Linked DNA regions of Lepisosteus oculatus. The protein of the gene in region 1 binds, or shares a complex with, the protein of each later gene. Links are inferred from orthologs where the notes say so. Each region holds a gene or a part of one and is shown in the gene's direction. Other genes may lie near its edges. The genes, in order: ppp4r2b, ppp4cb, ppp4r1 and smek1.

Region 1 (7,640 bases):
ACATAAATGAAAAATCAGTGGTCCACAGTCCTTACAGATTTACATGGGTCATGTGGTTTAAAAAGAAAAGCAAAAAAACCCTTCTTCATTCCTTTTTATTCATTGTAATATTTCATTTGCAAGGTGCGTTCTGTGTTTTTATTGTAAGGCTTTCAGAGATGTGAAAGTACTGTTGGCTTTTCCTTGTTTGTGTGCCATCCCTCAACAGCAGAGTGCACAGAACTGGCAGCTGGCACACAACCAGGAAACATACCAAGAGATCAGTTCTGCTTTGTGGTCACACACAGTTACTTATGAGGCCTTGTTAAACATGTCATCCATTCATTCAGCTATTAATTTTTTCACAAGGACATACTGTGTCGCTATGTTTTATTTGCAATACAAATTCTTATACGTTTAGCAAGCCATTCACATATGGATGTATGGACAAGATATACCAAAACATCTGTGTCTTGTACAGAACCCAGTTTCCTGACGTGTGTGTCTGGAACAGGATGCCTAGCCATATTGTTAAAACTGTCTCTATCAGCTGTTTCAAGAAATGCTTGGATGAGATCTTGCGGTCAATTAACAACTACTAACCAAGTGAGCAAGAGGGCCAGCTGGCCTTCCCTCTCCTCTCACCAATCTGGTGGTCCCTGTGTTTCAATGTCACGGAGGTTGGCTCTGGAAAAATCCTTAGTATAATCCTTAAAGTGGTCCAAAAGAAGTATTGCTCAAAAATCTGTGCCTGTTTTAGGTTGAATATTTCAGTTTGAACAGGCAGTATCAGTGAATGTGAATGAAGTATTGGTCCTCATCTAAACACATTTCAGGAGTATTTCTGTATGCAAGTTCTACTAAACTTTGCATACTATTTGTCTTTTAGACTTCCATTCATCTGTCCAGTTTTTAACTGTTTCTTCCAGTTCAGGATTGCGAGGGAAGCTGAACCCTATCACGGCAAGGAATGGGCACAAGGCAGAGTACACCCTGGACAGGACATCAGTCCATTGCACGGTAGAAAGAAGCACACAAATTTTCAGGGCCAATTTTCCCAGAAGCTGAATGATCTACCAGTATGTTTTTGGACTGTGGGAGGAAACCGGAGCACCTGGAGGAAACCCATGCAACTCTGGGGGAGCAAACTCCACACAGATAGCAACCCAGGAATTGAACCCACAACCCCGGCGCTGTGCCACTCTGCTTCCCTTTGATACTTTTATTTTCCAAAATAAAGCAAATTTTAGTGGATTGCAGATAAAACTATTATAGGCAGGTAATTTCCATATCCAAGCCACATTAATTTATCTGGCCAAAACTTAGCAGACTAGAAAGCAGGATCCCCCTGGGGTGTGAGATTACCCCAGCAATGATGGTGTCCACTTATACAGTGGGGTGGTGCAATTAGGGGTAAAGTACCTCACTCAATTTAAAACAGTAGTGAGACCCACAATCCAGACATTTGCCTGATACACTACTGCTCCCTAATATTATCATAGAAGTTTATTTTGTGACTTGGGAAGGGTTTAATCCACTTCTTCCAGGAGGCTCTGATTTTGTATAATAAAAGGTATTTTGGAGTATTTATATTAAATTAAGAACTGTAAGTGTTGTTTATTTTTTCAGCAACTTTAATTTTCTTTTACCTCAATATTTTGTGTTAGTTGCAAGAATTTAAAAAAATTGCAAAGTACTGAGCACTGTTGCTTTTTTCAGTGGATGGAAATCATCTTTTTGTATATCAGTATCAGAATTTAGTTTATTGTCCACACAGAGTGGGATTTTTCTATTGACCTCACTGAGACAACAAATGCAGAAAACATAAAACATCTAATGCACTGGAGTTGTATACAATAAATCCCACATAAACAACAATACAATAAAAAACATATAAGATTCAAATTTGTCCATACATATAAATATACTGTAAATACTGTGCTCTGAAGGAGCTCATACATCAGAGTTTAAAAGAGTAATGACACTCTGAGCAAATGAGTTCTTAAAAATGTGTTTTTGTAGCCTTCAGGATTCTAAACTGTTGACCAGATGGTAGTTTTTCAAACCAAGAGTGTAGTGGGTGTGAGGCATCATTTACTTTTCCTGCAAACACTCTTTGTATACAAGTGGTTCATCTGGTTCCATTTCTGAACAATACTTTTGCTGCTCATATTTATAATCCTTCAGTGCCTAGCTGTACACCTGGTACCAAGAATCCCATACCAAGTAGAGATGTTAAAAGAGAGCACATTCCCTCCCAGACTTGTATAGACTATCTTTGGATGTGCTTGCTTTCATCAAAGCTCCTCAACCTTCTCAAGAGAAATAATCTCTGCATGGGTTTTTTTTAAAAAAACCATGCTCTGTGTTGTCTAAGAATTTTAGTTTGTTATCAGTGTACTGTATGTACCCAGATACTTAAAAGGAAGAATGTCCACAAGCTGACAATTTATATTTATAGGCTGAAGTGTGGCTGGCTCAAATCTGCCTAATTACAAATTGGTGTAGCACTAATTCTTTTGTTTTGCTGACATTTATTTCCAAAGTGCTTGACTGGCTCCACTTAATAAGAGTTAATACTTTGTCAAAGTAAATGGTACTGAAGAGAAATATGAAACATACTTCTCATCCCCACCTACAAGTAACACAGAAACAAACAAAAAAAACATTTGAAATACAGGCTTTTTCTGTTGGCTTTACATCTAAAATATTTTAAATATTAATATCATAATGTATTTTATTGGGATTTTTGCCACAGATTTACACAAAATACACTATAATGTCAAAGTGAATACAAAGTTCTCTCCTAACCCTCCTACATTAACTAGAAATATACAACATAAAATATCCGATTATTACATTCTGTCTATTGACATCAAATTTAAGACAGGGTATAGTCCTATAACTCATTGACTGCTGAAACACTAGCAACATACAGAACACAATGCAATAAAAATGGCCCACTCTGCTTGTAGTTGTCAATGGTTAACCTAAGTCACTGACTGAAAAATTTCAACTCAGCAATAATTCATGTGGGGAGGTGAATGAACAGCTGTTCAAGAGAACAGCAAATAGATGCTACTTTACAGTAGCATGCTTACTATCAATGTATGGTACAGTAGACGGGGCTTGACTGCAATAGTTTCTAGGTAAGTATCACCAAAAGTGAAAATTCATAAAGACAAATCATCTGAAAAACTGTGAGTCAGTCGAGTTGGTAGTGCTATGAGCCTTCTAAAAATGTATTACAATGATGGGATTAGTTTATACAGCAGAAAAGCAAAATGTCCATGGTAGCTTAAAGTACAGCAGTGCCTCCTGTGTGAAATTAAAAAATAGATAAAGCACTTAATGGCACAAAAGTAGTAAGTAGAAAAGAGGTGCACAATTATAAAAGCCTCCCTTAAACTACAATAAGCATGTGCAGGGGTGCCCCTAGCAGTCTTCCTTGGGGGTGCAGCAAAGTCTTCAGTTCTACATACTATAGATGCACCTCATCCTATCTTGTACATGTTCACATAAAGTAACCTTATCAAGCCCACGTCTCAGTATTGCACACTTCTCAAATGATACACATTTAGCAATATTAATATTGCAATTACAATGTAGCCTTTTGGAAACAGTAATAAGCCTCCTACATTTGATGCAGTACAATTAAGGTAGTACTAAATGCAGTAATGCTGTAGTGTAAATAACTGCAGGCTTACAGAACTGTCACTCTGTTGTAACTCTACAACACTACTTCAATACTGCAGTTTCTATTTTTTTTATTGTACAGTGACTTGTTTTATAGACATAGCTTATTAAAAGCAATTACATTGAAAATGGCACTAGTGAATACATATTTAGAAAATATTTAGAAAAATATCTATTCAGAAAAAAACGAATTAAAATTATTTTCTCTTGAAATTTAATGATTCAAGAAGTTGTTCTGTTAAAGATTTTCGTGCTGCACGTTGTCTTGGATAATGTCTTCCAAATACAACAACGACAGTATAGTAATAGAAAATCTTTAAGCAAAAAGGCTACCTTAAAGCTATTGACTACACGGCTGCAAAAGAAGAACCTAGCAAACTTCAGAGAAGTCGCAATCCCCTGAGAAGCAGTTATTGATGGGTCTCTCCGCGACTGGCTGGAACCAGCTGCCCGGGTTTAATGGTGTTTCCAGTAGTACAGTAGTGAAACGAGGTAGGATGAGCGCCGCCTGGCAGTTCGCACATGCTCAGTGTGTGTGCAGGCAGGCAGTGACGACACGGGCGCCATATTGAAGTGCTGATTTTTTGTCTCGGACGCTGCTTGCCAGCTTTCTGTTTCCTGTTGGATTCAGGAGGAGAAAGAGACGGAGTGAAGAGCTTCAAACATTTCACGCCACAATCATGGAAATCGACACACTTCTGGAGGCCCTGAAAGGTTGTGAAACGTAGACGTTACTGTCTTTTTCGTTCCGGCATTCGAAAAAGTGTGAATAGAAGTGGTCGGAACGGGATTAGGATTGAAGAGTAGTAAGGTGTTGAATGTGGCTGTTGTTGTGTGTGCAATTTTAGAATAAATTTAACTAAGGGCTATTTGGATACCTTATTATACACTTTAAAACAATAGTCTTCTCTCAGGGAAGTGTTTTGAATCGTTTTGGTGTAGTCTAGTTGTGTTATAATGTGCACTTTTAACCCCAAGCCGGTAACCAACGTTTGTAGCTGTTGTAAAACTACATGCTCAAATTCAAACATTTTAACTTTAATCGTGTGTTTTTCTTCATGTTGCGCCGGGAAAGTTTGAGAATTTCCTGCAGACAGCTGATCCTGATGTGGAGTTTTATTTTGCTAGTTCCTGTCAGTGGCTGTAACTTTCCTTGCAGCATACGGTTAACAGACACCTAGGCTGTGTGGGACCCAACTGATGTGGCTCTTACTTTTCCCCCTTTATCTGTCTTTATGTGTAGATTTTGAGAAGAAAGGCAAGAAGGATGTGTGTCCGACGCTGGACCAGTTTCTATGTCATGTCGCAAAGACTGGGGAGACCATGTAAGTATATTTACTGACGAACCGCACGCAAGAGGCCTAATGTGTCTCAGGAGTAGAGTAACAGACATGGTAACGACTGTCTCCCCAACGGGGATCGAGAGAACTGCAGTTTGGATATACATGTCTCATGTCTGTAGTAACCTAGACTACTGCTGGCTTACTTTGTATCCGAAATATCTGATCAAATTAGTCTTTGAAGAGGACAGCCTGCTGAGAACACCGCTATATACTTCTAAAGGGATCAGGGGAACCTCTGGTTTTAAACACCTGTTAGCAAAACAGGACCGTATAAAAGCAGATGTGTAGTTATGTGAGCAGTTAGAAATTAAACAATATATGGCACAATAGTCGTTTAATTTTGTATCTGATCCGTAGTAGGTGGGAGAAATGCTGATTCAAGTGTAGTTTTGTTACAGTCTTTGGATAAAGATATTGATCAGTGCCCTTCGATTTAAGTTTCCGTGCTTCATTTAGATGGAGGAATCCTAGCATTGTTTAATTTCTCACCTGAAGGAGAGAATATTTTATTGCTTGCAGTGATGTATTGCAATATGTAGAATATATGAAAATATGTGTTGGAAACAAGTTTTTAATGCACGTCTTAATGCAGTCTTTATTTAGAGCACTTTCCAAGTGAAAAACAACTCCTTACACTCTGCAATATTACACATTGCACCAAGCTGACCTTTTTTGTATTTTATGGTAGTGTTTTGGTTTAAGTCACGGTGTTGCACTGACTGTGACCTTTGCATTGTGTGTGCACTTTTGTTCCTCTTATTTCATTGATGCCCCTCCTTCCTAGATTTGAACAAATATATAGGACATTTTTTGCTCTTTCATCAAGAAGCTAGTATGGCTAATACACTTGATATTGTGCTTAACAAGGGATTTAAATATACATTTTCCCTTAAAACACCCCTTAATCTATCATCATGCCCAAAGTGTTTTCTTAATTCCTGAAATTGAAATTGGAAGTGAAAATAAACTTGGCTTTACAAAACTGGAATTTTAGATTTTCTATATTTTTTTTGGCCCGTTTACGAAGCTGAGGTGGATCGGTGATCTGTTCAGTGTTATTTAACAATCTGGTTGTAAACTTTACAACAGCTGAACTGGGGCATATGAGCTGTCACTTTAGACATTTTAATTGGGTCAAATTTGAAATTTGTTTATTAATCGGTGAAATAAGTTTCTGCAAAATATTTAAGCAGATTGTAGTGCTGTTACTAAGTCACTGATGATTTACACTAAGCCATGTCCATGTGTAATTATTAAACAACTGTAAGTAAAGGGAAATAAATATAAATTTTGTGTTGGTGACCCTGGTTTATTTGTTATGTAAGGCATAGTGAATTTTATGATTAAGATTGCAAAAGTAGCATATTGTGTTTTCTGAATACTTTTGAATAAAATTCAAAACCAGGCCTTAGATTGCTGTTAATTGCATCTCAACTAATTCGTGTGAATATTTAAAGCATTTTAGATGCTTCTCGTTATCTACATTTGTAAATTATGCCTTATTAAATAGTTAAAACTAGTTTAGTATGCTGTAGTTCTTTAAAGTAGACTTAAGTCACACTTAAGCAAATTAACTCAAGATTTATATTAACTTATTATTGTACCTTTGATCAAGTTTTCAGACCATTTTAGTCCTCATATTAGGATGAATGCGTTATAGTGAACAAAACTAGTGTAATGCCTTTTTTTAAATTAAACTGTATAGGCCTAATTATAGGCCTTTCAGTTAGGTTGATATAAGTAGCAGCGTAGCAGTAAAGTGAGCTGCTTACATAGTGGACTGTAGATGTATATCCATATAGGTAAAACAATATAATAAGCAGAAATCTGGCAGTCCTTTTTAAAGAAATGCAAATGGCAGTTTTTGTTAGACATTGACCGTTTTGTTTTGCAAGTCTTTGTGGAGAGTTAATTATATAGCACACTTTACACATGTTATTTTGTTTGCAATTATACATTCCTTAATATATAATTCCATGTGTTTTGATGATTTTCAAGATTTCACTCTTATAAAAATCTTGTTCATAAACAAGAAGTTTGTCTCAGAATGAATAGCAAGTCAAAATACACAGAACTGTCCTGGATTTTATTGTCTAATACAACGATGTTTGGTTCATCCAAGTGTGTTGCAAAAAACATTTTCTGACTGTACAGATGTAAAAAAAAATACACTAGGATTATTCTGAGGATTACATTGCATGTAATTGGAAGGTCCTGCCTTTGGTTTAGAATGCAGGCCATCTTGATAAATGTTCATAGTGGAAACAGAATGTTCTAAACGCTATGATTTTTGCACTTGTAATGTTTAGAACAATTTTCAGCTTGTGTTTATAGAACTTTTTATCTGAGACCGAGGCTTTCAGCCCAACACTTTTTGACACAAATGGAGAACAGAATGGTTTTCCACCAAAAATACTGTAACAGTACTGTTCATGGGTCAAAAACAGGTATTTGCATGTGATGAAAATGTAGTTAAAACTACAATGCATGCTTCCAGTATCTCTTTATTCCTGTCATTCCCTAATCAAATTTTTCACGTTAACATGCCAATTTAAAGATCAAAGAAAATTAATATTGTGTTTTAAAAATTACTAACTAGGCAGATATCTGTGATCATCTCTG
Region 2 (8,174 bases), about 48 Mb from region 1:
AGAAAAATATATTCTCGATGTGTATGTGTGTTTTATGAATTTGTGTGCCGGCATGTATGTGTGTAACTGTGAGTTTTGGTCTACTAAATGACGGTGTGAGTGTGTTTAGCCAGCGGGACTGGCTAGAGACGTAACTAAAGAGACTTGACGAAAATCAACTTAAGGAGATTGGAAAATATAAGAGCGTCTGAAACGTATAAGTACAGTACAGGTGGACGTAAAAGTAGTTAAACAGTTTTTGTATTATTATAAATTATTATAAATTGTAATTTATACAATTAGTTGCAATAGTGGAAACAATTTGGTTTTATTCGAATGTCTCGAAACCAGACATGCTGAAACGCTGTAGGTTTAGAATCGAGACTGGGGAGAATAACGTCTTGTGAGAAAATCTGTTTACCTAACGATTAGATCCTGTAAATCCCTTGTAGCCTCCCTAAGTCTGTCCCAGTCCAGTGAATAAAAATGTACTGTTAATGGAGTGTTGGTTTCTCTGTTAGGGGATACTGGAGCACTACTGTCCTGCTTGTTTCACTCCTCTGTTCAACAGTGTACTATAGAGCAATGTATATGGGAAGATGGCAGGAGGCCACAGGAGTATTGGGACAGCAAGTTTTACTTGCCGAGTACCAGATTTTAATGGGTGGTTTGATCCCAGATCTATTGGGTTGAAATATTATGCATTACAAAGAATGACTATGCAGAACAGGGTATCACGTGGCTTCAACTGGCTGTGATCACTCAGTATGTTGATGGTATTCTGAGTGCTTCCCCTGACGAGGAAACCCACAAGTCTGAGTTGCTTCAGCTTTAGAGTGTCTAATAGAAGCAGTTATGATAAGGCCCTTTTGTGTCTAGCATTGTGAAATTTTAACAGGGCCTGGGTAATATGTTTTTTGCAGGGTGAGCACAACTCTTAACAGATCTGCTTAAGGGGGGAGTGCAGTACAAGGACAAGATTGCCTTGGTTCCTGCAGCAAAAGCCGCCTTTAATAATTTGAAACAAGTTCTCTTACAGGTGCTGAGACTGGGGTTTCCTCAGAGGGATCAACCATTCCTTTGTATTATTGCAAGTAGCTGACAGAGGCCACCCAAGGAGCCCGCGAGCAGGTCCTGGAGGCGTGGGGACCACCACCTGAAGGAGGGCACAAGCTCATCCCAGGAGAGTGGGTGTGGATCAGGAAATTTCCTTCACAGGTTCTCCAGCCCAGGTGGGATCCAGATCCTGTTGACAACCGAGTCTGCGGTTCGAGTGGAAGGAAAAGATCGCTGGATCCACGCGCCACACTGCCGACGAGCCTCATCCCCATTTACAGACTCAGAATGAAATCATTTCTGTTTATAACAATAATTGTTGCTGTAGGACTATGTTCCGCAGGGATTCATGATCATCTCTCCCACAAAGGAGAACATGGAATTAATTCCTTTTTAGGCCTCTCCTATCTGACAGCTAAGAAAACCAACCAAAGTGCCTGCTGGGTGTGTGCCGCATTACCCAAATATGTACAGGGAGGACTTCCTATGGGAGCCATTACTTGGCGTCGCGAGGAAGTCATAGGCATGATCATTTGGAGGGATAATTTAGGAGATTTTAATATGACAAACTATGGGGGTTGCCATAACACGACTTTAACCTGCACAACATTACAGTATCTACAGGAGCGAGGCTTAGAGCCCACGAGTTTCACAGGCTCTTACGCTCCTAAATATAACAGAAGCCATACACCACCATACCTGACTCTCAATAAGGAACGTGAGGGAAACATATGTTTTCAGCACACTAATTGGTCTGCACTTGGTTGGATGGAGTCGTTGCAACCTTACCAGCGCTGCAAATATATCCACCTCTACCTCCCAAATTCCAGGATGGGATCGGCACACCCCACAATTCGGTATAAGCTTCTTATTTTCAGAGGCATGGGGAGCGCCAAACGGAACATATTTCATTTGTGGAAAACGAGCCTACCCATGGCTGCCAGCCCAGTGGTCTGGCTCATGTTATTTAGGATATGTGGTTCCTCATATCCGTGTTCAAACCCACAGCCCCTTCGGACCTAACCACAGACCACAAAGAAAATTGGCTGATTGGGAATATTATTTAGGTATAATATTTCCACAAGCCGGCATGAACTTTCTGAGTCGAGAGTTAATTCAAATGGCCTCGACTTTAGAAGAATTAGCAAAGTCTACCTCATCTAGTCTGAAGGCTGTTAATGATGAGATGGTAGCCCTCAGAACAGTGGCCATGCAGAACCGACTAGCTTTAGATTATGTACTGGCGGCCCAAGGAGGAACTTGTGCAGTAATTGGCACTGAATGCTGCACATATATTCCTGATAATTCTGAGCACATCTCAGATCTGGCCCAACACATTTACAATGAGGGACAGAAATATCAGGACTATTATACTGAAAATTGGGGAATTGGGTTTTGGGTAAAGTCTGTGTTTGGGGCCTGGGGTGGAACCTTTTTATAGTGTTTATCTGTAGGAGTAGTATTGTTTATATGTATAATTGTAATCATCACGTGCACAAAAACATGTATCACATCTTGCCATAACCGTGGAACGTACAATGTCATGGCAATACATACCTGTTCGCCAAGAAAGGAAAGATCTGCCCTGACATTGTATGTATAAAATAGGCTACACTGACGTATGCCATATTTTATAAGGGGGGAATGAAGAAAGATGTGAAGACGGGGGTTTGAATTTAATCTTTTCTGTAGGGGGTTTAGACTTCCAAGTCACAAGCTGGGGTTTATGGCAGGAAAGGGGGTTCACTGATAAGGAGTGCAGATGCCAGCTAGGAACCCCCCTGGGTGTAATGTTAAACTGACCATTTGCCCAGAACATCGTAAACTGGCCAAATACCATGAACCCCCCTCTTTACCATCAGACCGAGTGACGTCAGAAACGGAGAAGAAGACACTATATAACCCAAAAGTTTGTAACAATACGGAGAACAATACTTCGGTTTTGTTGTTTCTTGCGGGAAACAAGACTTCGGCTTTATTGTTCCTTGCATGCAATAAACTCATCTGTTTCACTTCATCTCGGGATCAAGAACCTTATTTCTTCTGTTACAACAAAATCCTGTAGCCGGCAGAGGAATCCTACTCTGTTAGGCTCCTGAGCGAGGCCCTTCACCCCAACTGCTCCAGGGGCACTGTACAATGGCTGACCCTGCGCTCTGACCCCAGGCTCTCTCTCTGTCTGTGTGTCTCATGGAGAGCAAGCTGGGGTATGTGAAAAGATCATTCCTAATGCAAGAAATTGTGAAGGGTTAATAAAGTGATGATGTTGATGTTGTTGATTATTATTTCCTCTCTGGACAGCCAGGTCTGCCTGTGTCCAGTGTGTATTTCCAGGCTGTGTCTCTGAGCCTGTCCTCTCTGGACAGCCAGGTCTGCCTGTGTCCAGGCTGTGTCTCTGAGCCTGTCCTCTCTGGGCAGCCAGGTCTGCCTGTGTCCAGTGTGTGTGTCCAGGCTGTGTCTCTGAGCCTGTCCTCTCTGGACAGCCAGGTCTGCCTGTGTCCAGTGTGTGTGTCCAGGCTGTGGTCTCTGAGCCTGTCCTCTCTGGACAGTCAGGTCTGCCTGTGTCCAGTGTGTGTGTCCAGGCTGTGGTCACTGAGCCTGTCCTCTCTGGGCAGCCAGGTCTGCCTGTGTCCAGTGTGTGTGTCCAGGCTGTGTCTCTGAGCCTGTCCTCTCTGGACAGCCAGGTCTGCCTGTGTCCAGTGTGTGTGTCCAGGCTGTGTCACTGAGCCCGTCCTCTCTGGACAGCCAGGTCTGCCTGTGTCCAGTGTGTGTGTCCAGGCTGTGTCACTGAGCCCGTCCTCTCTGGACAGCCAGGTCTGCCTGTGTCCAGTGTGTGTGTCCAGGCTGTGTCTCTGAGCCTGTCCTCTCTGGACAGCCAGGTCTGCCTGTGTCCAGTGTGTGTGTGTCCAGGCTGTGTCTCTGAGCCTGTCCTCTCTGGACAGCCAGGTCTGCCTGTGTCCAGTGTGTGTGTCCAGGCTGTGTCTCTGAGCCTGTCCTCTCTGGACAGCCAGGTCTGCCTGTGTCCAGTGTGTGTGTGTCCAGGCTGTGGTCACTGAGCCTGTCCTTGCACAGAGAGTGGTGGGAGTGTGGAACGAGCAGTTGATCACCTGCCAGGCTCGTTCTTTCTGCGCCAGCACCAGCAAAGGGCTTTGTGCCTGCTGGCCCGCAGGGGAGTGTGTGTCCATCTGTCCAGCCTCTCCCTTGACAGACCCCCCTCGCTCCAGTTTGTACCCCACTCTGTACCCCAGGGGTGTCAGCACCGCCTCCTCGCCTGCAGAGAGAGGAGACCCCTCCAGTTTGTACCCCACTCTGTACCCCAGGGGTGTCAGCACCGCCTCCTCGCCTGCAGAGAGAGGAGACCCCTCCAGTTTGTACCCCACTCTGTACCCCAGGGGTGTCAGCACCGCCTCCTCGCCTGCAGAGGGGCTGAGGCTCAGCTCCGGCGCCTTTCGGGCGGGCTGACGTCATCCCAGCCGCGGCGGGCGTCCCCCCCCCCTCCACCGCCCTTGTTGCGTCATTTCCTGCCCCCTGCCCGGCACGGGGCTCGCGCCTTGAGGTTGGCGCTCCGGCGCCATCTTGTGGTTGTTCTCGCCCGTGCGAGCAAGAGCGGGGAGAAAAAACTTTTTTTTTAACGTGTTATTGTTGTTGTTGTTGTTGTTTTTAATTTTTACCAAAATGGAAGAAGGGCTAACTAGTTAATACTAACAGGGCTGTAAGGATGAACACCCCTGGCTTTTCTTAAGCAAAACAAAAAAAAAAACCTCGATTTTCCTGCGTGCTCCGTGACTTATTAAGGAATGGGGTTCAGGTGGCGCTTCAGGCCCGAACCCCTGAACCTCGAATGAGCGACCTCGTTCCCTAACCAGCGCTGCTGCGGGCTGTTAGCAATTTCAACAGGAGCCGGGGGGCTGCCGGCGGTGGCGTCGAGGACCAGAGCGCATATAAGAGGGAGGAGGCGGAGGAGCCGCTGAAACCACAGCCCGTCGGCCGCCGCCGCCAATAATCCCTGCTCTTGCGCGTCCCCGGACGAGTGCCCGTGCCCGGGAGCGAGCCTCGCTCCCGACACCGGAAGCCCTGCGTGCGCGCCGCCGCCGCCGCCGCCGCGCGTCCCCGAGGGCGGAGAGGAAGCGGAGCTCCAGCCGGCCGAGCGCAGCGGGGAGACAGACGCGGATCTGCGCACGACCGGCCTCCCGACTCCCGGACAGAGACGAGTCCGCTGCTATCGGTGCTGCTGCTGCTGCTGCCCTGCCGGCCCCTGGACGCCGAGGTAAGGCCGCTCCCCGGGGGCCGAGGGGTTTCTGAGCCGGTTTGTGTGTATTGGGGGGGCTGGCGGCGGCGGCGGAGGCGCCGGGCCCGGGGGGGGTCGAGTCGCTCCCCGCTCCCGGGCCGGGCCGGGCCGCCGGGCTGGAGGGCCGCTGCTGGAGCGGAGCGGAGCGCCCTGGGCCCCCGGCCGGGCCGCGGCGGCGAGCCGGGCCCCGGCGGGGGGACAGGCCGGGCGGAGGCGGCGAGGAGGCCGAGCGGAGTCGCTCCAAGATGGCGCCGTGAGGCCGCCCGGCTCGCGGAGCCCCGGGGCGGGAGAGCGCGGGAACGCGCGCGTGTACGTGTGTGTGTGTGTCCCGCCGCCGGGACTGGACCGGGCCGAGACTGGACCTGCAGCCGAACCCGGACGAGCCGCTGCCGCCCGGCTGTCTGTGAGACGCGGTGTTGTTTACCGGGGGGTGGACGGGCGGGCCGGTACCGGTACTGGTCCAGGGAGATGGGGGCGATTATAAGGATTCAGGGACTGTCCTGCACCGCAAGTTCCGTTTTCTGGACAAACGTCGGTGGTTCCGACGAGAGAGAGAGGAGCCGGGCAGCAGGGTGTGTGACGGGGGATCTGCCGTGCAGTGGTCGGGGACTGGGGCTGTGTTGATCCGTCGTCTTGACTCGCCTGCCCTGCAGAGCAGATTTCTCCAGCCGGGACAAAGTAAACAAAGTTCCTGCGGCCCGTCTTCCTGGGTCTCACCCATTCACTCACCCACAAGTCTCACCCATTCCTAGTGAGTGTTCAGTGTTTCTGGGGTCTGTGTGTCTGGAGAGCCCCTCACAGCGCAGGGACTGGTCTCCTCTACCTGTGAGGAGCCCCTGCTCTCCTGCTGGGGTCTGTGTGTCTGGAGAGCCCCTCACAGCGCAGGGACTGGTCTCCTCTACCTGTGAGGAGCCCCTGCTCTCCTGCTGGGGTCTGTGTGTCTGGAGAGCCCCTCACGGCGCAGGGACTGGTCTCCTCTACCTGTGAGGAGCCCCTGCTCTCCTGCTGGGGTCTGTGTGTCTGGAGAGCCCCTCACAGCGCAGGGACTGGTCTCCTCTACCTGTGAGGAGCCCCTGCTCTCCTGCTGGGGTCTGTGTGTCTGGAGAGCCCCTCACAGCGCAGGGACTGGTCTCCTCTACCTGTGAGGAGCCCCTGCTCTCCTGCTGGGGTCTGTGTGTCTGGAGAGCCCCTCACAGCGCAGGGACTGGTCTCTACCTGTGAGGAGCCCCTGCTCTCCTGCTGGGGTCTGTGTGTCTGGAGAGCCCCTCTCAGTGCAGGGACTGGTCTCCTCTACCTGTGAGGAGCCCCTGCTCTCCTGCTGGGGTCTGTGTGTCTGGAGAGCCCCTCACAGCGCAGGGACTGATCTCCTCTACCTGTGAGGAGCCCCTGCTCTCCTGCTGGGGTCTGTGTGTCTGGAGAGCCTCTCACAGCGCAGGGACTGGTCTCCTCTAACTGTGAGGAGCCCCTGCTCTCCTGCTGGGGTCTGTGTGTCTGGAGAGCCCCTCACAGCACAGGGACTGGTCTCCTCTACCTGTGAGGAGCCCCTGCTCTCCTGCTGGGGTCTGTGTGTCTGGAGAGCCCCTCACAGCGCAGGGACTGATCTCCTCTACCTGTGAGGAGCCCCTGCTCTCCTGCTGGGGTCTGTGTGTCTGGAGAGCCTCTCACAGCGCAGGGACTGGTCTCTACCTGTGAGGAGCCCCTGCTCTCCTGCTGGGGTCTGTGTGTCTGGAGAGCCCCTCACAGCACAGGGACTGGTCTCCTCTACCTGTGAGGAGCCCCTGCTCTCCTGCTGGGGTCTGTGTGTCTGGAGAGCCCCTCACAGCGCAGGGACTGGTCTCCTCTACCTGTGAGGAGCCCCTGCTCTCCTGTTGGGGTCTGTGTGTCTGGAGAGCCCCTCACAGCGCAGGGACTGGTCTCCTCTACCTGTGAGGAGCCCCTGCTCTCCTGCTGGGGTCTGTGTGTCTGGAGAGCCCCTCACAGCGCAGGGACTGATCTCCTCTACCTGTGAGGAGCCCCTGCTCTCCTGCTGGGGTCTGTGTGTCTGGAGAGCCCCTCACAGCGCAGGGACTGGCCTCTACCTGTGAGGAGCCCCTGCTCTCCTGCTGGGGTCTGTGTGTCTGGAGAGCCCCTCACAGCGCAGGGACTGATCTCCTCTACCTGTGAGGAGCCCCTGCTCTCCTGCTGGGGTCTGTGTGTCTGGAGAGCCCCTCACAGCGCAGGGACTGGTCTCCTCTACCTGTGAGGAGCCCCTGCTCTCCTGCTGGGGTCTGTGTGTGTGTGGAGAGCCCCTCACAGCGCAGGGACTGGTCTCCTCTACCTGTGAGGAGCCCCTGCTCTCCTGCTGGGGTCTGTGTGTCTGGAGAGCCCCTCACAGCGCAGGGACTGGTCTCCTCTACCTGTGAGGAGCCCCTGCTCTCCTGCTGGGGTCTGTGTGTCTGGAGAGCCCCTCACAGGGCAGGGACTGGTCTCCTCTACCTATGAGGAGCCCCTGCTCTCTTGCTGCCCCTCCTGCTGGGGTCAGTGTGGCTGGAGAGCCTCTCACAGCACAGGGACTGGTCTCCTCTACCTGTGAGGAGCCCCTGCTCTCCTGCTGAGGTCTGTGTGTCTGGAGAGCCCCTCACAGCGCAGGGACTGATCTCCTCTACCTGTGAGGAGCCCCTGCTCTCCTGCTGGGGTCTGTGTGTCTGGAGAGCCCCTCACAGCGCAGGGACTGGTCTCTACCTGTGAGGAGCCCCTGCTCTCCTGCTGGGGTCTGTGTGTCTGGAGAGCCCCTCACAGGGCAGGGACTGGTCTCCTCTACCTATGAGGAGCCCCTGCTCTCTTGCTGCCCCTCCTGCTGGGGTCAGTGTGG
Region 3 (8,100 bases), on another chromosome or scaffold:
GACGTGTGAGTTTTTGCAGCTCAGCTCGGTGTGGTGGGCCCTTATTTCAAGTGAGAGAGAGCAAGGTCTTTTCTAAGGTCTTTTCAGACCACATGTTTTACCACACAGGCTTTGAGGTCGTGTTTTCTATGAAGTAACGTGTCCTTTAAATGAGAGGTCAATCGATACTGCAGGTATGAACATTTGAATGTTGGAGCACATTTTTCCGAAGCTGACTCAAACTTATTCTCTTTGATAGAGCTCACTGTAAGTCCATGTTGGGGCTCGCCTGTGTACTTATACTGCCAGGCTGACTCATTTTTTTTAATCGCCTCATTTTGATTCCTGAAAATAAAAACAAAATGTCCAGCGTTTCAAAAACGGGAGTACCATAAAAAGAAAAGAAGTCGATCGCGTGCTGCTGCTGATCGACTCAACCTTTAAATGAGCTCAGAGCACAGATTCACCTCTAAATAAAGTTGTGCGGATCAAGTCTGTTCAATTCTACATCACTACTCGGCTGTGAGCTAGTGTACAATTGCCTGACCTGGACAACATATCCTGAAGCTTCAGGGTGGACTGCCCCTACATGTCACAGCTTCCACAACTTCCAGCACCTGCTTCATCCAGTTTGTGGAGAAGTTGGACTCTATCCCAGCCAGCAAAGGGCGCAAGGCAGGGTACACCCTGGACAGGACACCAGCCCATCACAGGGCACACACACACCCTGGACAGGACGCCAGCCCATCACAGAGCACATATAGACACACACACACTTGCCCCAGGGACAGTTTTCCCAGAAGCTAATTCACTGACCAGCATGTTTTTGGACCAGAGCACCTGGAGGAGACCCACGCAAACACGGGGAGAACATACAAACTCCACGCAGACAGCCCCCCAGGGCTGCACGTCAGCAGTGCTGACCACTGAGCCACCTTTGTCAGACCATGGCAAAGACAGTACCTCCTGCACTGCTGTCAATGGACAGGCACGGTCAGCAGACTGAGCTCACAGGTGGGATCCATTCACGTTTCCGGGATCTCACAAGGAAATGAGATGCACCTGGTAGCCACAGCCAAGGGGGTGAATACTTAATCAAGACATTTCAGTGTTTTCTTTCAAATTCTGTGCAACACATTTCCATAAAGTTCGCTCCATTATATGACATTATAGAGTAACTTGCGTGGGTCAGTGACACACAAAGAAAAAATCCCATATAAATGTATTTATAAAATCCAAGGGATGTGAAGACTTTCTGAAGGCGTTATATATGCTGCTATAAAAATTAAAAATAAAAATCCTCCTTCTAAGGAAGATAATGAATGATAAGAAACAAAAATTGGAAGGATACGGACAATTCTCACCCAGTAGCCAGCATGTCATTACAGTTCAATCTGATTCAGAGAATTATTATGCCCAAGAACCCCACAGTATTCGTTCTGAATACAGCCTAGAGCCCTGCTCGCGTTTGAATTGTAACCACTACGCACAGCATATTGGAGAGCAACACTGGCAGTATCTCTGACATAGTGACGCCACAGACCCACCTAAAGCCTGGACTTCCTGGCGATGAGTGGATTATGTACAGCACTGAGCTCTCGGTACTGATCAGCTGAGAGCTGTGTCACTCTGCAGTGACGACTGACTCATCTCCCCATTTCTTTGTGACTTGGAGACGTCTCCTCCAATACGGCCTGTGAAAAAAAGACAAATACTCTGTGACAGAGGGTATGGGCTAGATGTATTGAGTATCTTAAGTCCTGCATTTCTCAACCGAATGCCGTACAGATTCAGATAAGAGGTGAGAATGTAGGGCCCTTTCAGGAATCCGTGTAGTGCCAGTTTAGCTCCGTGCATTTTGAAAATGTACTCATTTGCCACAAGAGGGAGCCGTATTACCTGGGTTTCAAGAGCCAATTTGCAACGGGGCGTCGAGAAGAGAAATGTGAGCTGTAAAATGCGCTCTCTTTTTTCCCCTTTTATCCAGACAATACTGACTCCGGCTTATCGGTACTATACGAAATGCTCGCTTTCAAACACTGAGGCAAGGAAATTTAAAAAGCAAACAGAACATTCTGATGCAGTTTTCAGCTCAGAATTTAAATCGAGTGCTGCTATGTTAAAACTGTATGAGGTACCAGTAAGCTCTTACCGAGAGCATTGTGCACAGTTCTGCTCACCATATTTTAAAAAGAGATATCCTCGGCTCTGGAATCAGTCCAGAAAAAAAAGGAAACGACATACCTGGACTTAAAAATAATGTCCTACACTGACTGACAATATCCTTCCCCTGAAGGAACTAAACTTTTTTTTTCGTCTCGAACACGGCAGACTTCAAGGGGATCTGATGCAAGTATTCTAAATCCTGCAAGTCGCCGATTAAAACCAACCCAGCGGCCTACACCATGAATAAACCATGAAACGAGGGTTAAAGGATACAAGTGTAGACTTTGTGGAAGGGTACTTAAAACCCGGGCACACGAGCCACTTTCTTCTGCACGAAGGGTTGTGGGAGTCTGGAACAAGCGAGTCGGCCGTGTTGTTAAAGCTAGTACCCCTGGCTTCCTTCGCAAAACGTGACTCCCTCTCGCTTGTAACCATTGTGAAACCCTACTTAAGCTATCAGCGTAACTTTTTTTTGCACGGAAAGGAAGGCGTGTTGCTGAATATGTCATGTGCCAACAGCGGACTTGCATTTTAATATTTAAGAGACGGTGTTTCAGCCGGACAACGAGGGGGGGGCAGATTGTGCGTAATTCCATACGTGAGAACGGGCTGTGAGCGCCAGTACTGTCAGTACTGTCAGTGAACGCCAGTACTGTCTTCGCACAGGCGTCGAAGGAGTTTTTTTTTCCCCTTTTGCCACATGCGCATTTCAATTGTCAAAAGGCAAATTGTTAATTGGGGATGATGCAGTGAAAGGGGTTTATGTTTTCGGTGCTGAAACAGCACAAAGTAATAAAAATAATAATAATAATAATAATAATAATAATAATAATAATAATAATAATTGCTTACACTTATATAGCGCTTTTCTGGACACTCCACTCAGAGCTCTTTACAGGTCATGGGGATCCCCTCCACCCTCACCAGTGTGCAGCCCCACTTGGATGATGCACTAGTACGCTTAACACGCACTAGCTCCCAGTGGGGAGGAGAGCAGAGCGATGAAACCAGTTCATAGCTCACGCGTGTAAGAGCCCGGATAGCTCAGTCGGTAGAGCATCAGACTTTTAATCTGAGGGTCCAGGGTTCAAGTCCCTGTTCGGGCGATGCTTTTCTGCAATTTCCCTCACAGGATCAGCAAAGTATCTATCTATTATCTATTAGGAGGCCATGATTGGTAAGGGCCAATGGGAAATTCGGCCCGGACGCCAGGGTTACACTCCTTCTCTTTTCAAGAAACGCCCTGGGATTTTTAATGACCACAGAGAGCCATCGGTCATGCTAATAAAGTACCTTGAATTGAATTGAGTCAGGACCTCGGTTTTACATCTCATCCGAAGGACGGCGTCTTTTTACAGCATAGTGTCCCCGCCTCTATACTGGGGCATTAGGATCCACACAGACCGCAGGGTGAGCGCCCCCTACTGGCCCCACTAACACCTCTTCCAGCAGCTGCCTTCGCTTTCCCAGGAATATAAAAGTTTCTGAGTGTCAAATTATCATAAACGTATGTTTATTAAAGATGTGTTTGTCATTAAGCTACATAGGGAATTTATACAGTACATTTTTATATGTACAGTATATGAATGTATTTGTTTCAGGACTTTTTCTAACCATATTCAAAACAGGAAATCATGGGGTCGACAATGTGGTCCCCGTCACTATACTGGGGCATTAGGACCCACATAGACAGCAAGGAGAGCGCCCCCTGCTGGCCCCACTAACACCTCTTCCAGCAGCAGCCTCAGCTTTCCCATGGAGTCTCCAATCCAGGTACTGGCCAGGCTCACACCTGCTGAGTTCCAGTGGGGCTGCCAGCGGTGAGCTGCCGGGTGATATTGCTTCTGAACGAGGTGATACAGAAACAAGTCATGACTCTGCTAGAGAAGAAACAAAGCGCAAATTTAGGAAAGAGAAGATCCAGGATTAAAACTGTTCCAAAAATTGGGAAAATAAAATCCCCCTTTGACACTAAATGAAAGGCTGGACTTCTACTAAACAGACTGTGAAGGACATAGCAGGGAAGCAAAATGTTTGAGGTATAAATGTTGCGGTTCTGTACTTGGGTGCTATAAAAGTTTACAACGGTTTTATGCACATTCTTGTTTATTGTTTGGATTGGGTGAATGGACTCATTTTCGTAAAATTGTCTCCATGGCTTTGTTCAGTCGAATATATATATTTTTTTCTCTTCATGTTCTGTATTGGCGCTGTGATCAGAAAAGACTTGGCCGCCCCATCCGTCTCCCATGCCGGAGACCCAGCGAGCGCCGCGCTGCTCCCGCGGCCGCCCGCCAGAGGGCGCCGTGCTTTCCGCCGCGCCGCTGAAAGCCCTCCGTCCACCCATCTCTCTCTCTCGGGCTGCGCCGCTCTCCTCTTTCCCCTCGCCGCCTGCTTCTCCGGTTGTTGCCTCAGCTACCGAGGCCACTTTAAATGTAGCACCAGGACAAGATGGCGGGTACGTACCGCTCCGGCTCCCCTTTCGAGCCTGGCCCCCCCTAAACCCCCTCTTTTTTAGACCCTCGCCGTCCCGCCAGCGGCGGTCTCTCCTGCCGTCGCTGCCCCGTTTCTGGAGCCGTGCTCGCCGGGCGGAGGGGGCTGCCGGGCCGGCGGCTGACCTCCCTCTCTCTCTCGTCTTCTCTTTCGCAGATTTGTCCTTGCTCCAGGGAGATTCGCAGGAGGAGATAGACGGATGTAAGTTTCCGTGTGTGTGTGTGTGTTGTGCAAGAGAGAGGGAGAGAAAGAGAGTGCTGTTTTTTTTTTTAATTTCCTCTCCCCGTAACTTTCTCGCCGCGACCGAGTGCGGCGGTGGTGGTGATGATGATGATGATGATACACGGTGGTGTGTTGTTGGAGGAGCTCCCGGCTGGTCTGCGGGGCCTAGGGAGTTAGCATCCGGAAACCAGCCCTTCTTTTACAAATACAAAAGCAAAGCAAAAAAAAAAAAGTTTTTGGAGCGTCTCGTTTTGGGCTGCCCCGGTGGGGCATGTTTTTTTTCGGGGGGTGGAGACGCGTGTTACCCATTTTATTTGGGTTTCCTGAAGAAAGAGAGCGGGCAAGCAAGGAAGGGGGACACGGGTTCAAGCCGGCGGCTGCGAGGGTTTGTCGCCCCCCCAAAGAGACGTGGAGGGGACAGAAAACGTATGAAAAACAGCCACCCTGGAAGTGTGTTTGCAAGGCGAGGAGGGATTTCTGGCGAAGAGGAGTCTCGCCGGGGAGGAGAAACTGTAGCCCCAGACTGAAAAGGGACGACGCAGCCGGCGGTCCATGTGGACTCTCCTTCATCGCAAAAGTCACGACGGTACCAGCAGCCGGGCCGAAGGGCGGCGGACAGCGCACCGCAGGGCAGCGGCGTGTCGGTGTGTTTTGCAGGGCGATTGCAAACCCCTCGCAGCTGAGAGTCGGACCTGCGGGCTTCGCGTCTTGTGTTCAGCAGCGAGACGTTGCCACCGGGGTCGGGAAAAGTGGCTGTTGCACTTCACGAGTGAATTGCTGGCTTCTCGTGTGTGACGAGTTTCTTTTTTTTGTGTGTGTGTGTGTGGGTTCGCCAGTGGTGCCCGAAGAAGTGCTGGTGGTTGAAGTTCAATTGTGGTGGTAGCGAAGGGGGAGTGTGTTGCACCCTGGCAGGGATGTTGTAATCCGTCGTCCATCGGTACTGTCGAACTGAGCAGGCTTCACAAACAAAACACGCCCCTCCTCACGGCTGTTTTGTTTCGATCCATACATGGAAGTATTTAACCTCTTCACCGCCAGGTTTCGTGCATTGGATGTAAAGTTTTCCTTTGTTTAGCATCTACTTACCTATTGATGAAAGTTAAAGTAAGTTGTGCAACGTACTCTCCTTTTAGATACATCGGTAAAAGAATAATAAAAAACACATCTGGAGCAGGCTTCTGTCTTTTGAAGTATCATGGAGACTAGATTCGCCCTCACCAGTTACTAAAGAACTTGCACCTTAACTGTTGCAGTTGAAAAGGATGTTACGATGGAAGTTAAAGTTGTTGGAAAACTGTGCTGCTGCTGCCAGCAACTGTAACGGGTTCCTTTAGTAAATCTTCCATTAACAGTTTTCTCCTTGTTAATCCAGGCACTTTATATAAGCATAACATCATGGCTCTGAAGTATTTTGGTTTTGTTTGAAGTTTCTTTTGTATATAGTTAAAGCTTCTATGCATACAAGAAACAAGCTTCACTGATGTAAGAATCATTGATTTTCTGATAAATGTTTGCCTGCTTTATGATTGTAAGCCCGTATTTCCAATGTTTCTGATAGTTGGTGTGGATGACTACAGCTCAGAGTCTGATGTCATTATTATACCTTCAGCCCTGGACTTTGTTTCTCAAGATGAGATGCTGACACCTTTAGGAAGACTGGATAAATACGTTGCAAGCGAAAACATTTTTAACAGGTATGCCAGAGGCCAGAAAACGTTTTTCTTTTTAGCCTGCGACTTTGAATTAAAATATGATTAGTGCTGCCTCATTCTGTTCCCTCAGACTGTTGCTGAATCGTATTTAATTTATTGTGTTTTGGAAACTTGTCCATTCCCTGTTGTCTGATGTCCAGGCAAACCTCTGGGCTTTTTACATATTTTTTCCCACCTTTGCAACTTGCAAATCTAATCAGTCTTGCTCCTTTTCATTCTTTGCATGTATGATTTTCGCTGTGTATTGTTTCAACGTGAAGTCAAGACAGGTCCCCTGGAGATCCCAGCGTACTGCTGTGCTAGAGAGAGAGGGTGAAAGAACAGAGCCACCGAAGCCCCTGGACACCGTGGTGCTGCTGCGCTTGTGCTGGTGTAGTGGCCTGAGCTGTCGGCCGACTGGAACCAGTTGGTATGATGTATCATTTTCGGTTTCTCCAGACAAATGGTGGCCCGAAGTTTGCTGGACACTTTGAAGGCAGTCAGCGAGGATGAACGGGACTGCATCGCTGTGCTGGAGAGAGTGAGCCGGCTGGCAGAGGATTCAGGTAGGCCCCGACTCTTCTCCGCCTTCAACTTGGCAAAGGGAGTCCGAGCAGTAATAGATCACCTTGGTTCACTCGGTCCTCTCTTCTCTACTGTGCTTGTCCTGGGGCTCACTCCCATGTGTCGCCCACTTGTTGTGATTCTTACAACTTTGCATTTTAATCTCATGATGTGGTTAATTTAGAATTGCTTATAATGGGGCTATACATGTGAGATTAGTTTCATGGCGGTTAAACTTTTTTGTATATTGAGTGGTTGTTAATCCTTTTCTTAATTAATAAATTCTAAATACCCTTGAGTAGTGTGGTTTCCTGATTCAGTGGTCTGTAGCAGTTAAGTAGTGTCTATAATCCTGCTGGTTTACTGGTGTGGTGCTGCTCACAAGCTAAGATTCTGAAGTGTAGGTAACGTTCACTTGATTAAAAGGCCAAGGGCAGTGAAATACTAGACCTCTTAATTAATCCAGTTTTGGGCCCCCTGCTGTTTGACACATTTGAGTGGATTAAAGGATCCACTGTTGTAGCAGTGCAGTTCTTCCACATGGATGCAAGCTCGTATTATTTGCACGGTTCCAAAAGGTTAAGATCGTTTCTATTTTAGGTTGTCTCGTGGTGCCCACGACATGCATGAGGGTTAAAAATGAACTAGTTTTAAAACAGCTTCTGCTGAGAATCCCAGTGACTTTTTGATCTTTGCTCTAGCAAGCAATTCACACTGTATTTACAACAGCTGTGCAAAACGTTGGTCTGCAGTGCAGAAATGTATTGAAGCCTCTCTGTCTTTGTTTATCTTCAGTTGTTTTGGTTGCATATTCACGCTTGCACGAAAATGAAGATCACAGATAGGTTTATAACTGAATATGGTTGCCATTGCATGGTAAATAATGCAGGCCAGATATATACCTGACAAAGATCCTTAGGCCTCTGGTAAAGCTCAAGATTTAAAATAACTATTAATCACTTGGTGTAGTGATAGACCCCCAACT
Region 4 (7,326 bases), on another chromosome or scaffold:
AAAAGATACCATTTGTGCTACAACCATAAGGCAATGCTATTGTTGTTAAGCATAAAAGTTTGGGATGTTGACAAAGAATAAGAGGAAATAATTGGAATTCATAATCAGTACTGTCAGCTTACTAACTAAACAAGTCCACCTTTGTCATCTGGTTGGTTTTATAACCTTATGAAACCAATAACTCATCATTTCACTCTCAGATATCTGCTAATTCTGGGTTAAAGTTGTGACAGCGCATCGCCCATTCCTTGAATACAAGAAGCAAGTTTGACCCCAAACCCGAGAGCATTTCAGACACCAGTGCGACCTGCTCTGTCACCATGTGCCTCATCAAACTGGGGCTTAGAGTTCAGATGAATCGGCGTGAGAAATGTGGCTTTACAGGGAAACAAAGAACAATATAATTGACGAAACAGTTTTTGACATTTGTGATTGCGTGGCAGCAAAAAAAAGAACAGTCTTTTAGTCAGACAGAGCAATGCACTCTAGTATCACAAGGAGTCTGAAGAAGGCGGGGAGGGTATGAATAAGTGCCTTTGCTGAGTAGGATTGCCAGTTGTGTTTTATTTCAGGGGTGACTAACTGAAGTACTACACTAGGGAGGTTCTCATTGTGAGGAGGCTGCACCCCTCTCTGGGAGCACTGGCACTTGGCCTCCGTCCTTAAAAACTGAACTGAAGACACACCTCTCCTCTCCAGCCTGCACTATAGCTTTCAGATTTCTTGCGGCCAATGAAGTATGTTTTCACTGAAAGTGCCCCATGAATGTGAGTGTCCCCTAGATTGTAACAGCTTAGAAGAATGAATCATTATTTTTATAAATGCATAACCTTTTTATATACAGCGGGAATTGAAAGTAACATGCTGAAAAGAGAGGACGGGAAACAACGTTTCGGATGTGGATCCTTCTTCTTTATGTTGGTTGTCACTGCTCTGTATTATTGCACTGTTTGTAATTTTCCTTTGTAATTCTCGCGCTTTCAAAAGGTACTTCACTAAATAAGGATTGTGACTGCTCCTGTGCTAAAAACACTTTGTTTTCTTGTTAACTTCCATAGTAGAGACTGGAAGGCACAAAATAATAGTATTATTATTATTGATAATGATGATAATATCGTTGATCATGATGGTAGTTTTGTTTTCCATCGCATGGCCAGTCATGTGGCCGTTTCGGTGATCCCTGTGTCTCCATAGTGCAGACAACAAAGGCTCTTTTTTGACTTCATTAAAGATGCAAAAAGAGATTGGGCCCTCTAAATTCTCAGTTTAGATTGAATCTTTATGCAACAACACAAGTACTGCATGCCTGCTGACATTGTTTATGTTAGCTGTTTGTTTCACATAGAAACCGTTCCAGCTCTTTCTTTCAGCTGCAGTGGACTTTTGTTTGTTGTGACTGTGCTGTCCTCATTCACTATACAATTAATGGTTTACTTAGTTCCACACTGCAAAGTACATTCTGTTTACATATCACAGTTTGCTGCCATGGAGACCAAAAAAAATATCTCTGCTGGTTTCAAAAACAGAATACTGCTTGGGTGTTTTACTGTACTGGGCTGATGTAATAATTTCTTAGTTTAACTGTCTAGGTTGTGGTTTGTGGGCTCCATTTATTTTAATTTAAAAACCTTAGTACTTTTTCTTCACCTTGAAATTGTCAGATACAAAATAGACTTTGTGATAAATACCACTGTTGTTTATGATCTTTCAACAAATGGAATTTTCCATTTTTTTGTGATGTTTTAATTGTCTTAATCAACATTAGCATGCTGGGAAATCATGACCATTTTTGTTAAGGCTTTCAGATGGCAGAACGCAATACAGCTTTAAACTCAATTACAACCTACCGACTGGTATCAAAGCAGTGTAAGGGTCTGAACGTCTTCTCCCTCCCCCAAAAAATCCACCTTGGAATGATTAGAGCACTGCTTATTGGGCAGCTGTGTGGATGACTCAACGCAAACTTATTTAGCTTTTCACCCTTTAAAACAAAAGCATCCAGTCCATCTAACTGCTTTTTCCAGTACAGGCCCTAAGGACAGCTGGAGCCTGAACCGGCAAGCAGCGCGTGCTAGGCAAGAGCCACCATGAATGGGATGCCAGTCCATCACAGGGCACACATTCATGCCAGGGCCAGTCTTCTCAGAAGCCAGTTACCCAATCGGTATGTTCTTGGACTGTAGGGGGACGCCCACACAAACACAGGGGAAACATTCAAACTCCATGGAGGTAGCACCCCAAAAATTGAAGCCAGGGGCCCAGCGCTGTGAGACAGCTATACTGACCACTGTGCCACCGTGATGCTCAAAACAAAAGCAGCTGAATGTATGCTTTATGTAAAGCATTATCTGCTATTTAAAAAAAACACAACTATTTTTAGTGTATCAAAATAAAAGCTGAAGACACAAACTTGCCATAAAAACAACAGTAAGTCAGACAGCTTCACAACATGTTAATGTTTCCTTACTCTTATATAGCGCTTTTCTGGACACTCCACTCAAAGCACTTTACAGGTAATGGGGACTCCCCTCCACCACCACCAATGTGCAGCCCCACCTGGATGATGCAACAGCAGCCATAGTGCACCAGTACGCTCACCACACATCAGCTATCAAGTGGGGAGGAGAACAGAGTGATGAAGCCAGTTTATAGATGGGGATTATTAGGAGGGAATTATTACAAAAAAGGCCAAAGGGAAATTTGGCCAGGACGCCGGGACAACATCCTTACTCTTTTTTGAGAATCACCCGGGGATTTTTAATGGCCACAGAGAGACAGGACCCCGGTTTTACATCCCCATCACTATACTGGGGCATTAGGACCCACACAGACCATAGGGTGAGCGTCCCCCAACTGGCCCCAATCTTTTCCAGCAGCAACCTTAACTTTCCTAGGTCTCCTATCCAGGTACTGACCAGGGTCACCAGTGTGTTGGCAGTTGAGAGTTGCAGGGTAATATAACTGCTTGGGAAGCAGGTTCTTCTTTGTGATGGGATCCTATAAGGAACGTCTGAGGCCTAGTTGTTAAAAATAAACCTATTAAATGAGCACAGCAACAGTAAGATAACTTAAAATTCTTAAATGTCTGGTTGGAGAGGAGATACGAGTCTTGGGTCGATAAACAGGGCACACGGGCATTATACTGAATTATAGAAAATGAAAATCTAGTGAGATGAGACCAGTCCTTCCGCAGACTCTATTTTTCTGCACATAGAGGATTCAAAACCACACTCGTGTCTGATTTCTGGCTCGGGCCACTCTGCTACTGAAAATCTTCAGTCCCATTTCCCCCTGCTCCCTCCAACCCCAACCCCAGAGCCCGTTCCTTCTCTAACCTCTCCCCTTAGCCACAGAAACCACAAGCCCCTTGCACCTGCTCGAGAAGCACCTGGGGCTCTCGGCTACATCCTGCAGCCACTGTTTTTCTGTAGGCCACTAATGTTTTATTCTGAAACTAGTCATGTAATTTACAAAATGTACTTGCTTCTAAACCTGGAATAGGTAGTCAAACAGGGGGACTTCATCTTTGTATCCGGACTACCGGTACATGTTTCACATTGTTTCAGTTCCTACAGTTTTTGATTTTCACTTCCACCTTAATTGTCATTTTATTGATTTGATTTATATTTTACCACACCTACATGTTATATCTGTTGTTTACTGTTTGCACACGTCTAAATCAGATGTACATACAGCTAAAAAATTAATTGGCATTCATGGGTTTATCTGTCCTGCAAGCTCCTAAAATACAAATATTTGGGGGCTTTGTTGACATCAGTGTAATATTCTGTAAATTACAGTTACTTCTTGGGAAAAAAAGTCTTATCTGGCTCCGATATTACAAGCCCTTACTGATTTTTAGATGTCAAAGTAGTTGGTAACCCGAACATGGAGAGTCTGAAAGGTGCGATTGAAAGCGCTGTTCCTTTAAATAGTGGCGGGCTGCCCCTGCTGCCGCTGGGCTGGAGACCCCGTGCTGGCACTCTGAGGGGACCCAAGATGGCGGAGTTCTGATTGAGGGAACTGTAATTATAAAATAAAACTGGGAATTAAAGAGAAACTGTAGTCGTGCGTGGGGGGTTCCGTATAAAGGGAGTTCAAGTAATATTCCGGTTGAATTTATTTAATTTTTAAATGTGTTCAGAATTGTGGGGAGAGGCTAGTCTCTCTCCGCGGCCCGAGGACAGAACATGGCGGAACGCTAGGGAAGGGGTATAAATAATAGAAAATAAATATAAAAACAGCCGGCTGCCTTTAAAATTAAAGATCCGGACACGTCCTTTCGCGGAAATAATGCAGTCGATCTCGCATGCGGTTCTGTATGAAGCGTTCATTGTTTCCAAGAATGAGAAATACGCGCAGATAAGGGCTGTCGACAACACCGATTCTCCAGTCGTGCTCTGAACATTTTCTTTCCCTCTCCTTCTGCCGAATTTCGTTGGTGGCCTCCTTGTGCAGCCGGGGTTATATCTCGCTTTCTCTTTCTCTTGTGCAGCGGGAAGGGCAGTGTTTTACAGGGTTGCGCAACTTGAGGTAAAATGGCGAAAGCGTCCTGAAGCCCTCGGTAGCAAGGCCGCCCTCCCGAGCTGGGCGAGTGTGCGCTGTAGTAGGCTAGCCGTCTGATCGCCCTGACGGGCCGGGCTAAGGATCGGAGACCGAGGGTCCGACGCCTCTGGGGTGGACGACGAAGCGTGTTTTCGGGTGTGAACAGCGGGGTGGGTTAGCAGAATGACGGACACTCGGCGACGAGTGAAGGTTTACACCCTTAACGAAGATCGGCAGTGGGACGACCGGGGCACCGGGCATGTGTCCTCCGGCTACGTGGAGAGATTGAAAGGCATGTCCTTGCTAGTGCGGGCCGAGAGTGACGGTAAGTGGCCAGTAGCTGCCCCCCCCCCAAAGTAAGGTTCTGTTAACAGGTTTTAGTGCTCGCTTGCAGACCTGGGTAAAGTTTCGATCTGGTTTTAAGCGCCGCTGGTGCCTGAAAGTTGCGCGGATACTTGTGTAAACACGTCGCCTGGCTTTTCCCTTAGTAAGCAGTGATTTGATTTGTGCTTTCGAGGTCTTAACCGAGACAGCTCTACAAATCAGGGGGATGTAACGCTGGGCGAAAGCCGCACAACATGTATGTCTTTGTATTGTTTTAGCAGGGTTAGGGTTCGATCACTAGATGCAGCCTTGCAGATAATGGGGGTGCATGCCGAGGATCATTGAGTTTCCAGTGTCCTGCTATTTAGTGCGATTGCCGTACTTAATGCCCTCTATAGTTGTCCACCCCTACGTACACAAGTACAAAATTACACCTTTCATCTCCTTATTAACGTGTGATTGCACAACAAAGGCGTCATAGATTCTGATTTCCAGGTTTGAGTAAAGATACAAGGATTTGCACAAAACCAATCATTTATTTCAGACTTGTATTTGAATGCATCATCTATTGTGTCCAGGTATTGACAGAACGAGGTCCGAGAGCCTCATAAATACTGAATCATGTTTGTATTGTCCTGAAGAGTTGTGCCTGCAGCTCTTATAATGTAGACAGTCTCTTATTGAACGTGCAGTGTTGGATCTTCGGTAACAGTATCGAAAACGCAACGTTAGATTAAAAAAAATCCTCTAAACGTGCTGCTTGAAAGTGCTTGTTTTCAGTCCGCTGCTCGGCTGCTCGTCCTGCTGCGCTCCTGCAGCTTGTTCAGCCTGTAACCTGTTGGAAGTTGAAGGAGTTGCACCAACTCGTCCGAGCGCCATACCAGTTGGACCGGAATAATAACTTTTCATCAGTTTCTCGTTCTTTACTGATCATTTTGACATTCTAGACGTTGTTTTTTTGTTCTTAAGCTATTGAGTTACATCCAGAGGTACTGATTTCAGATTCTTCTAATCGTCTTATCAAAGCTTCTTATATTCGTGCAGGATGAATTGTAGTACTGCCTAAGGTTGTCTGTCATTGTGTCTACAATTAGAGCATGCGATTTTAGTTTTTATGTATTACAAATGGCAGCACAGCTAAAATGTGCTAGAACAATTTGTACATTTAATAGTACAGTTTGCAGTCTTTAATTGTTAACAAATTAAAAGATCGGCCTTAGATTTTTTTAACTTGTACAGTATTTTTTATTATTTGCTCTTCCAAGTCCTAAAGTTGAAAAAGAACAACCTTATGTGGCACTAATGCTCCAGTCTTTTCAAGGAATCTGGTTAATTGTGTAATGTAAAATGCCATGACACCTTGGGCCGTCTCTTGTGTTTTTTCTCATTTTTAATAGGTTATTCCTTAATTTTAAAACTGCATTTGGGGTTCCATTTCATCAACACAAGTGGAACATTGCAGGTGTTACTTAAATTTAATTTTGGTAGGCAAGGAGTGAATATACCTCACCCTTTGTTGAATGGAGTGGTTGCTTTTCTGAAATCAGAAGTAATTCATTTTGTAACATTAATTTTAAAAGTATTGAGATGATTTTGATGGCATGAAAATGTTTGCCACCAATGGGTAACAAGCTCATGGAGACTGGTGATTGAATTGTGTGCACTTTTCCCAGTATTTCGGAAAACTAAAATGTTTGCACGAGTGACAAAGGAAATATTTTTAACTTTTCTGTATTCAGTTTATGCTTTGATACATTAGAAAACAAGTTTTGTTTACATCAAAGACATGATCTGCAATTCCTATCTATAGGCCATTCATTGTTAAAAGTGCTGAAGAGTAGCTGAGACAGGTGTGACATAGACTGCATTCTTATGCTGTGCCAGTTTCCTACCCCTGTTCTTGGACTGAGGACATGGCCAACTGCAGGGCCCTGTGTCAAGATGAAATTGGAAGCACTCTGTGATTTACGCATGGCAAAGGGATAAAGATATCGACATTGAGTTAATAAATTGCACTGAATTCTTTCATTTTACTCTTTATTGGGTACCAGTGAACACATTATGTAATGTTGCTTTTTTTTGCAGGTTCTCTTTTGTTGGAGTCAAAAATAAACCCTAACACTGCTTACCAGAAGCAGCAGGTAAGTTTCTTTGAAAGTGTAACTTTTTAAAGTCTCGGTTCTTTAGATTTTAAGTGTTGACGCCTTAAAGAAAATGCATATTAAATGTATTGTAGTTTATTAATTTGGTTTTAAATTTAAATGAATATGCTTTGTATGATTTCAATGATATTTGTAATATTTTCAATTTTTTGTATTGTGTACTAAATTTAAGCAAAGTTTGTCCCTTAAACTCATACATGCAGTTGTATGTTGAGACCTAAGTTAGAAATAGTGCTGTATAGATTACAGATTGATCACTTTATTATGGAAGTAAGGAGCCATTTTTTAATAATTT

Evidence for each region.
Region 2: ppp4r2b (region 1) and ppp4cb share a complex: the UniProt entries of both Homo sapiens proteins name them as parts of the PP4 complex. The link is inferred for Lepisosteus oculatus from reciprocal best matches to the Homo sapiens genes PPP4R2 and PPP4C.
Region 3: ppp4r2b (region 1) and ppp4r1 share a complex: the UniProt entries of both Homo sapiens proteins name them as parts of the PP4 complex. The link is inferred for Lepisosteus oculatus from reciprocal best matches to the Homo sapiens genes PPP4R2 and PPP4R1.
Region 4: ppp4r2b (region 1) and smek1 share a complex: the UniProt entries of both Homo sapiens proteins name them as parts of the PP4 complex. The link is inferred for Lepisosteus oculatus from reciprocal best matches to the Homo sapiens genes PPP4R2 and PPP4R3A.

The regions. Positions count from the first base shown.
Region 1 is NC_090699.1:51,221,056-51,228,695, forward strand, and holds the start of ppp4r2b (serine/threonine-protein phosphatase 4 regulatory subunit 2-B), read left to right. Parts: upstream 1-4,239; 5' UTR 4,240-4,355; coding exon 4,356-4,389; intron 4,390-4,918; coding exon 4,919-5,000; intron 5,001-7,640. UniProt on the Homo sapiens protein: Regulatory subunit of serine/threonine-protein phosphatase 4 (PP4). May regulate the activity of PPP4C at centrosomal microtubule organizing centers.
Region 2 is NC_090699.1:2,940,653-2,948,826, reverse strand, and holds the start of ppp4cb (serine/threonine-protein phosphatase 4 catalytic subunit B), read left to right. Parts: upstream 1-4,702; 5' UTR 4,703-5,302; intron 5,303-8,174. UniProt on the Homo sapiens protein: Protein phosphatase that is involved in many processes such as microtubule organization at centrosomes, maturation of spliceosomal snRNPs, apoptosis, DNA repair, tumor necrosis factor (TNF)-alpha signaling, activation of c-Jun N-terminal kinase MAPK8, regulation of histone acetylation, DNA damage checkpoint signaling, NF-kappa-B activation and cell migration.
Region 3 is NC_090701.1:56,539,202-56,547,301, reverse strand, and holds the start of ppp4r1 (serine/threonine-protein phosphatase 4 regulatory subunit 1), read left to right. Parts: upstream 1-4,917; 5' UTR 4,918-5,131; coding exon 5,132-5,504; intron 5,505-6,418; coding exon 6,419-6,554; intron 6,555-7,010; coding exon 7,011-7,117; intron 7,118-8,100. UniProt on the Homo sapiens protein: Regulatory subunit of serine/threonine-protein phosphatase 4. May play a role in regulation of cell division in renal glomeruli. The PPP4C-PPP4R1 PP4 complex may play a role in dephosphorylation and regulation of HDAC3.
Region 4 is NC_090703.1:20,030,013-20,037,338, reverse strand, and holds the start of smek1 (serine/threonine-protein phosphatase 4 regulatory subunit 3), read left to right. Parts: upstream 1-3,962; 5' UTR 3,963-4,728; coding exon 4,729-4,870; intron 4,871-6,954; coding exon 6,955-7,010; intron 7,011-7,326. UniProt on the Homo sapiens protein: Regulatory subunit of serine/threonine-protein phosphatase 4. May regulate the activity of PPP4C at centrosomal microtubule organizing centers.